Linked DNA regions of Arabidopsis thaliana. The protein of the gene in region 2 interacts with the protein of the main gene of each other region in a biochemical or structural test. Each region holds a gene or a part of one and is shown on either strand. Other genes may lie near its edges.

Region 1 (5,876 bases), about 10 Mb from region 2:
CTACAGAACAAAAAACGACATCAGCTGATACACAAGCCCAGTTGCAAAACCGATCTACCAATAAGGAGGTCCAGGTTGAGCAAAATCCGAATAGTATGTTCCAAAAGAACACAGGGCAGGGTCGACGGTTTGGAAGAGGGCAGGAGTCACAAGGAGGTTGGGGTTTACCGGCGCAAGAGAATATGCACCATCACCATCAGAGGCCACCTTCAAACAGAGATAGACAGAAGCAAAATCTGCATTATGAATACAAACCTGTTGGGTCTCATACTTATGATGGAGAACGTAGTCGAGAACAATCGAAAGAGAGTTCTCAGACAGAAGGTCCAAGATACAGAGAGAAGGGACAGGGGCAGCAAAGGCAGGGTGGATACCAACAGCAAAGGGGTACTAGTGGGAGAAACGGTGGTCATGGATTCACTGGTGATAGAAACTAAGATTGGCCTCTTATTGTTATTTAGGTAGTAAGAGCTGCCATGCTGAGGATACTTGCATTTTGAGATATGGCGATTGAGGAAGCTAATTCGTAGGCACATAGCTTGGGAGATTGCTGAGAGGAGACCTATCCGAGGAGGTATTGGCAGATTAAAAAAAAAAAGTCTTTGTCTTGAGAGTTTATTATTATATGTTTCAGTCACTTGTTTGAATATGATTATAACTACTGTAGTAGCCTTTTGTATACACTAGATGAATACTCATGAGTATTTTTGTTTTTAAAGTTGCTTAAAAAAATATGATTATGTTTTTTGGTTGATTTTGATGTTCATTTTGATAAATTCCTATCTATTTAATATAATTTTTTTATTTTATGATTAGATTTATCTATAACTCGAAATATCAATTCTAGTATAATATATATATTTATATCTATTATTCTAATATTTTATTGTCATGATCACATATAAAAACAATATATGATATATTGATACAATGTATGCGTTTTGAAACTTGTCTAAATTAATTGTACAAACAATTATTTATTCCATATATTCTCTTGTCATCAACTACACAATCACATCATGATATGCTAGTAATTCAAGTCACACTTTAATTCTTTTCACTTGCATATAGCCATATAGAATCTCATATTTTTTTTTTTGTATGTCGAATGTCGAATGTCTCAAATGACTATTATATTATAAAATTGTATATCAATGTTACTAAGTTATTAGAACGCACCAAAATGTACAGAAAAAGTTCATATGATAAATTATATTCACAAAACGTAATAATAAGAAAATATCTAATTAAATTTACTAAATTTATATGAGGTTAGGTAGCAAACATAAGAGTTTTAAGAGTTTGGATTTTGGAATTGGTGGTGTTTGTTTCTCAAACTTCATAAATTAGAGTTTAAAATGTTTTTTTATTTTTTGTGGTCGGCATAAGAGTTGAAGTTTTAATAAAATAAAATAGTATCTGATCATTTTATTGGAGAAAACATAAAAGATGTAGTATTTTATAAGAACTCGAATTGGTCAATTTTCAAAATGTTAGTATGAAAAATAAAATATCTAGTTATATGTACTCGTATCTCTTGATATTTTTGGCTTTAACTTAGGGATGTTAGTTTGATTTGTCTTTCTGGATAAGCCAGTAGTAACCAAAAAAGTCAAAATCTTGTTGGCTAAGTCAGAAATTAATTAAATAAACAAAAGGGCCCATTAAATTAATTATTTTAATAAATATTCTGTGTAATGATATATAGTATAAAACGCGACCGTCTAAATTCTTGGTTGTTTACGAGAAAAGCGGATTACGGGTACGCTTCTTCTAAGATAAATCTCTCCCCGATTCTCTCTTTTTCTCGCTAGATACTCTTTTTCTTCAATTAGGGTTTCTTCTCGCTTGCCTTTTAATTCTCTCCAGCTGATCTGATCTCCGTTACCGATGGAGTCTACTGCTAACGCACTCGTCGTCAAGGTTAGAGATACAACCTTCCTTTCTTTATTTGCGAATCGTCAGTTTTCTCACAGTAATTGTCGGTGATTCTGGGTTTTCGTGGCGATCGTCTCGTTTCTGTTGATTTTGTTGCTTGTAATCGGTCCTTTCCTTTTGAATTTCGCTATGGATCGACTCTCTCTCTCTCTGTCTCTGTATTATAATCTTAAGTGTAATTCGAAAATTTTCCAGACATACTTAGCAGTATCTGCTTGAATCTTATACCCGAACAATGATTAAAACTATAAGTTATCGTAATTAGAATCGTAATCTATTTCTTCGACAATTTTTTTTCATTTTTTTCATTGAAGTGATACTAATTTTGTTTGTGATTATGTAGGTGAGCTATGGAGGTGTGCTTAGGCGTTTCAGGGTGCCTGTTAAAGCTAATGGACAGCTTGATCTTGAAATGGCTGGTCTTAAGGAAAAGATCGCTGCTCTCTTTAACCTCTCTGCGGATGCTGAATTGAGTCTGACTTACTCTGATGAGGATGGGGATGTGGTTGCCCTTGTTGATGACAACGATCTCTTTGATGTTACTAATCAGCGTCTTAAGTTCTTAAAGATCAATGTGAACGCTGGCGTGTCCACTAACTCTGCTGCTCCAGAGAGTAGTGGGAGTTCCACACCTGCGGGTATGCCTAACCCGGTTTCCAAAATCCAGAAGGGTATAAATGATGTTCTGATGGCTGTACCTAACCCGATGCGTGATACCATATCAAAGGTGTACATGGACCTTGCATCCAAGGCCTCAACTTCTAGTCCTGTAGTTGGTGAGATGCTTGATTGCATTTCCAAGCTAGGGCAGCTCTCAATTCCTCAGGAAAGTAGTCCTTGCTCACCTGTTACCAAGCCTGGTTCTTCAGGTGCTTCCCTGAGCAGGGATGTTCCTTCCGCTGGTGGAAAGAAGGATATCTCTGAGAGGACCCAGACCGGAAGGAAACCTGTTAATCTGAATGAACCCACTGGCGCTCATTCAAAGACTTCTGGTCATGTACCAAACTCGTCTGGACTGGGTGCTAATTTCAACGAGTGTCCCTTTAGTGGCAGTACCATGAATTACTCCTGTCCAAATCCAGTTAACCTCAACAAGCATCCTCGTCGTGTTTGTCATTCCAAAAAGAGCACCAATGGTGATTACTGGACTTCATTGGGTGTATTCCATAAGGGCATCCGTTGTGACGGATGTGGAGTTCTTCCAATTACTGGGCCTAGATTTAAGTCGAAAGTGTAAGGATGCCTTCTACTTACTACTTTAGAAACTATAAACATGCTAGAACTTATTGTGCTTATATGTTTCGCTTGTGAATATTGTGCAGTAAAGAAGACTATGATCTGTGCACCATCTGCTATTCGGTGATGGGTAACGAGGGGGATTACACAAGAATGGATAAGCCTGTATCCGTTCAACATCTGCATCCTTTTAGAGGACCGTTTACCCAAGTATTGCTCTTCTTCTAAGTTTATAATTACTTTTCTTCTTGTTTATTCTATGTGTCTTCTCTGATAGCTATGAGGAATTCTTACCCTTTTTTTTTTGGTATAGTTTCCTAATCCTTGGTTGAGCCACCCTGTGCCACGAGCAACCAATGGAGGTGCACCTCTCAGGTGTACTCGCCCTAAACTAGACAGTCGGTTTGTCCTTGATGTGAATGTAATTGATGGAACCGTTGTTGCTCCATCCGCCCCATTTACTAAGATTTGGAAAATGAGGAACAGTGGTTCGCTGGTGTGGCCACAGGGCACACAGATTGTCTGGATCGGTGGGGACAGGTTCTGCAACTCCTTGTCAGTTGATTTACAGGTTAGAAACAATTTCCTTAGTTTTCACTCTTTTAGCTCGATTCTTACCACTAACAGAGCAATTATGTTGTTTGAATTTACACTCGATGGCTTGAGTTAGGTTGTTTTCTTCACGAAGTGACTATAGCTGCTTGATTATATAATACTAACTGTTTTTTTCTCTCTTTACACATGGCAGATTCCAAAGGAGGGTGTGCCTATCTATAGTGAACTTGACGTCAAAGTTGATTTTGTTGCACCAGAGTTACCTGGTCGATACATTTCTTATTGGAGGATGGCTACCTCTGACGGTGCTAAGTTTGGGCAACGTGTTTGGGTGTTGATACATGTACTTACTAGATTTGTGCAGCTTCTGTCCTTTAATTCTTTGTCTCTTTCTATCATATGTGTTTGATACATTTTTTCTTTTTGCATGGTTAGGTTGATGCATCTCTGAAGAATTCTGTTGTGAATGAGTTTCATGGACTGAACCTTAATGCCTCCCCCTCCCTTGATGAGAATTTTCCAAGCGAATTTCTAGGGATTATGAATTATGAGTCAGCTCAACCTGGCAGCTCCAGTGTCAATCCTGGGACCGTGAAAGGTACTGATCTAGAGGGCGAAGTTGGTGAAACACAGGCCGTGGAAAAAGAAAACCTTTTGGTTGGTGAAGCTCATCCTGCTATCCCTCACGGTCATTCTCCTTCATCTTCATCTTCTTCATTTAACATGGTCGACTTCCCAAGCATGCCTGCTGTTGAGGTCTTGTCTGGTGGTTCTTCATCTACTACAAAAGACGTGCCAGTTCCTCTTCAGGAGGATATAGAAAAGAATGACGTGGAGATAACCATGCTCAAGGAGCTCGAGGAAATGGGTTTCAAGGAGATAGATTTGAACAAGGAGATCTTGAGGGATAACGAGTACAACCTGGAGCAGTCTGTTGATGCTCTTTGTGGAGTTAGCGAGTGGGATCCAATCCTAGAGGAGCTTCAGGAGATGGTAAGTGTGTCTGCACTTGGTGAATTTATTAAATCTTACTTTGCAGATTGGAATGTTGAAAATATTGTGATTTTGCAGGGCTTCTGTGATGATGTGACGAACAAGAGACTGCTGAAGAAGAACAATGGAAGCATCAAAGGCGTGGTAATGGATCTCCTCACAGGGGAGAAGGAGGCTTGATGAGCTCTTTGGTTTCTGGCAACTCTTCTCTATCTCTCTTATCTATCAGGAATAATTATGTTTTATAAATAAAACCTGATCTCTTAGTTTGGTTTCGTGCTGCGTCACATGGTCTGTTCCTTTGCTTTGTGTTGGGATGATGTTACTATGTTAACTCTATCTAAGACATGGATGGTTTCTTTCTTATTTCAGTTTAGTTTATGTCGTTCTGCTCCTCGGGTCAAATGAATGGTTGAGTCTTTTTTATTGATTTCATCACTTTAGGCCTTTTTGGTCTCCATTTCTCAGCTGTATTTGGCTTAATGTGAGTTTGTGAGAAGAGCTTTCCTTGAAACAACGTACTGTTTTAATTCACATTTACCCTCTCATCTCTCTCAATCAGGTGACATTTTCACGTGGTCGAATCATCGGCATGGCAGTTGCAATTAGTCATGGTGGTCGGCTTCATTAAACTGTTTACAACTGACAAAACTTTGTTATTCTATCCATAGAAACCATTCAAAAACCAATAAAAGTTTTTGAATAGACCAATAAAAGACATTCATAATTGATTTCACTTTTTGAGAAAAATTTACAAGTTTGAAGTAGTAACATGATGAGTTTGTTAGAATCTCTTTGAAGACGAACGAGTGAACAAACTCCTAAGGCTGTTTCTGCTGTCTCTAGTTTTCTTCTTCTTCATCTTCTTGAGGCCATCATTATCTGAAGAAGAGAAGGTTTGTTCTTCTAAAGTGAGTTCGCGTTCCAGTTTCTTAGAGACCGAAAGAATCTCGTAGGGATCCCACAGCGACTGTCCGAATTCCCAATCCAAAAACGACGGATGATGCTTTGCGGACAAGGCTTCCGTTTTGAAACGTGATGCCTTCCCTTTGACAAAAGCATGCTTTCTCTGCGCATCGAACTCTAAAACAGTATGTTTTGAGGTTTGGGAGTGGCTGAGCCAAGCCTGCGCAGCTGCCTTCATCAACTCTAGT
Region 2 (4,545 bases):
CCATCGCATCAAACCTTTCTTCATGATAACAACTCTAACACAGAATTGAATTCTCCATTAGTCCAATTTTACAATCCAAAAAGCTCAAAACTTTAAGAGAGAAAGTATTCAACTTTCCTGATTTCTCTTCAACGATTTACTAAAATCATTTCCCAATAAGACAAACTCGTCCAGCAATTCGAAAACAAATCAAGTACGAATCTTTGTAATCGAATTGAGAAACCCTAAATTGAATTGAAGGTTCACGAAGATACCACAAATCTAATTAGAGTATAACAAAAGCTTCGTACCTTGCCGGTGTAGTTGACGAAGGTAGGAGAACGATTCGCGGCGGAGACAGCAACAGTCGCAAGATCAGAAGCTATACTCGGTCCATGTCCGTAGAACCAAGAGAATAATATAAGTCTCGAATTTTCCAATTCAATTTTTGGTTTGTGCTTGGTTTGGTTTGGTTTTTTTCGGTTAATTCAATTTTAGGATTTTTCTTCGGTTTAGACAATTTAGCTAATTAGTAAATTGATCAGACGAACTTATCAACGTTGATGATGATATTACTATAGAGGTTATTTTATTCAATGGCAATAGAGAAGATGCAGAGGAAACAAAACAAAGAAACTAGAGAGTCAAATTAGAATCTTGTTTCAAATACCATCTTCAAATGCAAGAGATAGTAAGAGAGCTCAAAAGGTTAAACCAAGAAAGTAAAATGACATTATTAAGGTCGACGAGAATGTACAATCATCAAGAGGATCAGACGTAGAAGCTGAGGTAATTAGCAGTAGAAAGATCCACCAAATGTGTTCTCTCCACTGTATGTCATGTAGAGAAACCCGTCTTCGTCTTTGTGTTCTTCGTAGATTGCAGACATCAATGCCGCTGTTTGTAAGAACCAGAAAAGAGAGAAACCATATTTATACATGAACCATAGAAGTAGAAGATTCACACAAGGTTTAAAAAGTGTTAAAATCCTTTACCAGTTGGTGGTAATGTGTTCTTGACAAAGACAAAGATGGCTTTTTCAGCTCCAAGCTTGATTCTTTTCCTCACAACGTACACAAATTGGCCAATGGTTAGATCAGCTGGTACAAGATACCTAAAGAGAAGAAACAGGTGTCAGCAAAAAACATCAAAACCAGCAAAAAATAATGCTATGCAATTCAATCTCTGTATCTAGAAACTGCTAAACTGTACCAAGGGACAAGTTTTGAAGAATGAGAACTATAGTTAGACTCAAAATTTCATCAGCTAGTGATTAAAAGGATTACCGGATCATATCACATTTCCATTAGACTCAAAGGAGATTGAAAGCTAATTTGTGATTTGATACCATTATGATCCAACAAGAGAGATAGAGATAATATGTAAAACAAATTACTCACTTCTTCTTGTCAATGTCAGGAACATCACTCTGTCCAGCTTTTTCCACAATCACCTGTATTGAGTTCTCTAATTAGAAACTTAGGGTGACACTGTAAATCTTGTTCCGTAAAGTGAGAGTTTAGAAAACATACGGGAACTCTTTCAGGGTATTTCGCTCTGATACGAGTAGACTCAGCCATTCTCATCTCTGAAACCAAAACAAAACCATAAAAAATCAGTCACAACTAACGGATTATACAAACACATGAACACATCTTAGTGACATGTAATTCAAGTAACTTCCAGGAAAATTCCAGAGGCACAAGTACTAAATCTTTATAGATTCAACAACAAACTAGGTCTAATAACTTAATCGTGTTAATGTAAATCAATGGAGAATACAAACAGAGTAACCAATATCAGAGATCGAGAATCAGAACCAACAAACTCGTGATCAGGCTAATCAAAACTTGAGTTCCTTTAACAAAGATCATAATCGTAACACAATCCAAAGCCCAAAAGATCGAAGAAAACCAAAGAAGTAAACAACTATCCTTTAAACGCTTATCGAGTGACATCAATCAAGCAAAAACCCTACAGAAATTGCAAAAAGTAAAAAAGAAGAAACAAGGAAACTAACCCAGAGGATTAGAAAGCTTGAAGGAGTTCTTCTCCATGATGATTCGGTTAGTATCTACGATGATTAAGAGAAACAAAACTCGAAACTTTATCTGTTAGGCTAAATCGGGAAAAAAACCCAAACCACAAAAACTCGAAATTGACAAAGTGGAGAGGCGAAATCAAACGTACCCAAAAGACGAAACTAGGGTTCGATGATGATCAGAGGAAAAAAAAATGAATTTTGATTGTAGAAGAAGAAGAGGATCAAAAAAATGAAAAAAGGAGAGAATATATATAAAGGAAACAGAGAGGATGGATTTAGGGTTTAGTGATTGTTACCTGCACGGCACCCAAACTTATTACTTGGATTTTAATTAGTTACGATGCTTATCTTACGTCAGCGAGATGATACGACGTCGTTGGATTGTAGTGGTCATGAGTTTGTGAACTATTTATTGGGCCTTTATAGGTTTGGATCTCGTTTGGGCTTTTCTGTCATTTACATGATCAGGACTACTAGGCGTGGACAAATAAACCAACTCGAATATACCGAATCAAAATCAAAGCAAAACTAATTAAATCAAAGCAAACCAAAAATTGGAAAATATTCGAATGGATACTAAATTCTATAAATGAAAGAACCGAAAGAACCAAAACTAAATGGATACTAAATATTATTTATTTTTAGACTACATAATTAAAAATAATTGAAAAGATATATAAAATAGTAAAAATACTCGAAAAAATAACCGAAAATATTCAAAAATGATCGAAAATATCCAAAATAACCGAAATATCCAAAAATATTCAAAGCAAAATAATAGAATGGATATTAAATTTTAAAACTGAAAAAACCGATACGAATCAAACTTTCAAAATAACCAAATGAATACTAAACTTTAGAACCGAAAAAGTTGAAACCGAATAGATACAAACTGAAACCGAATGGATAACCGAACTATTAGGACTAAGGACTACAATTAACAATTTTAGTTTGTTCCGATTGATACCAAATTACCAATCATAAAGACATAAAAAGGGTAAGAAAGCAGCAGAACTGAAAACTATTTCTAACCACTATTTTTATTTATGTCAAAAGTAAGACTGGTAAAAAACAAGGTTAGAGGTTTTAGGTATATAAAAAAAACAATAAACAATACCAAAATAGTTACAACTTTTTTTTGTTAAAAAAAATAGTTACAACTTTTTTTTAAAAATCTCGTTTTTCAACGTTTTCGTCACTAGTAATAATTAGAAGTTTAGAACGGTAAAATACTGCAACCATACGAGATTACCAATCAAAATCTAACTATTTGGTTCGCCTACTGTTTTTTTTTTACCGTGTTGTTTTACTACTAATCATACCAATATAAAAATCTTTGCTTCTACTATCAATCCTTTTTCTATATTTAAAAGCATTATTGAAGTCTAATGTGATGTTTTCTCGTTACATTATTTTCTTCTCGATATCCCATAGTTTTAAAGTTTATTACATTTAATCACCTTTTTTTTGGTCTCGTTCACTCACCGCTATTAAATATCTTATAACTATAATCAAACAAAAAAACATTCAAAACTATTCATAAAAGAGTTCAAAGGAAAATCATGGATTCAATCCTTTATATGTACACCTTCGATATGTGAATATATGACATTGATCGATTGATATGGTTGAAAATGTCTTCAGAATTGGAAACTCAGCATTTTAGGGCTTATTTATTTTTGCATGAAATCGGCTAAATTAATGATATTTAGTAGCAGATTTGCCAAATACATAATTAGCCAAAGATGGACATAGCTAATATTAACAAAGAAAGAAAGATATCTAATTTATATATAACATTGTCGATAGCAAACGACAAAATCTTTCACCAAAACATGGTAAAGAACTCAACTCCAATTAAAGGTTCTAAAGGAGATGCCCCTCTCTAGGCTCTAATTTAAGATCATAAAAAAACCTTCAAAGAGAAACCAAAAACAACAGAAGAACATAAAACGGGACCCATGCATGGGGCTGACAAGTCATCATCATCACTATGATACTTATCTACTCTAAATAACACATTGAAAAATAATAACAACAATAAAGAAAAAAAAAACTTAACAAAAAGACTCTTGGTATAGTGATCCCCACATGATGATGACGACAATGACATTGATAATGATGATGATGTGGATACCATAAAGTTGAGTTTTTCATGATGATAATGTTAAACAAGAGTTATGGGATTCATATTCCATGCACATGGATGATAATTATGGTGATGATGATGATGAGATATTTTATCCTACTTACTCCAAGAAACCAGTTTTTGACAAGACAGCATTTCTCACTTTGCTTAGATCTCTTCCTTTAAGTGTTCTTCCAACTCCTTCACACATAGAGAAAGAAGAGATCTGTGTTCTTGCTAGCTTTCTTGCAACCCATTCATGTGGAGGAACCATGCAACCATCATCATCTTCATCATCATCGTCAGCAGCATGAGAATGCAAATGGCTACTCCTTCTGTTGCTCTTTGAGTCACCATAAACCTTGGACCAATCAGGGACATTCATAGGTGCTGA

Evidence for each region. The genes of interacting proteins can lie anywhere in the genome.
Region 1: the proteins of ATG8B (region 2) and NBR1 form a complex in vitro, tested with the Arabidopsis thaliana proteins (one study listed by BioGRID).

What each region holds. Positions count from the first base shown.
Region 1 is NC_003075.7:12,739,301-12,745,176, forward strand, and holds NBR1 (ubiquitin-associated (UBA)/TS-N domain-containing protein / octicosapeptide/Phox/Bemp1 (PB1) domain-containing protein), read left to right. Parts: upstream 1-1,731; 5' UTR 1,732-1,890; coding exon 1,891-1,923; intron 1,924-2,281; coding exon 2,282-3,171; intron 3,172-3,260; coding exon 3,261-3,384; intron 3,385-3,487; coding exon 3,488-3,745; intron 3,746-3,922; coding exon 3,923-4,072; intron 4,073-4,164; coding exon 4,165-4,722; intron 4,723-4,800; coding exon 4,801-4,902; 3' UTR 4,903-5,370; downstream 5,371-5,876. Other genes in the region: MOS1 (modifier of snc1), read left to right, coding at 1-437; AT4G24700 (uncharacterized protein), read right to left, coding at 5,507-5,876. UniProt on the Arabidopsis thaliana protein: Autophagic substrate degraded in the vacuole by non-selective autophagy. Requires ATG8 protein expression to be recognized as an autophagic substrate. Acts probably as a receptor for autophagosomal degradation of ubiquitinated proteins.
Region 2 is NC_003075.7:2,327,891-2,332,435, forward strand, and holds ATG8B (Ubiquitin-like superfamily protein), read right to left. Parts: upstream 2,701-4,545; 5' UTR 2,170-2,700; exon of another isoform or gene 2,054-2,169; 5' UTR 2,037-2,053; coding exon 2,000-2,036; intron 1,568-1,999; coding exon 1,512-1,567; intron 1,433-1,511; coding exon 1,380-1,432; intron 1,094-1,379; coding exon 975-1,093; intron 877-974; coding exon 773-876; 3' UTR 552-772; downstream 1-551. Other genes in the region: AT4G04614 (uncharacterized protein), read right to left, coding at 1-24; AT4G04630 (senescence regulator (Protein of unknown function, DUF584)), read right to left, coding at 4,273-4,545. UniProt on the Arabidopsis thaliana protein: Ubiquitin-like modifier involved in autophagosomes formation. May mediate the delivery of the autophagosomes to the vacuole via the microtubule cytoskeleton.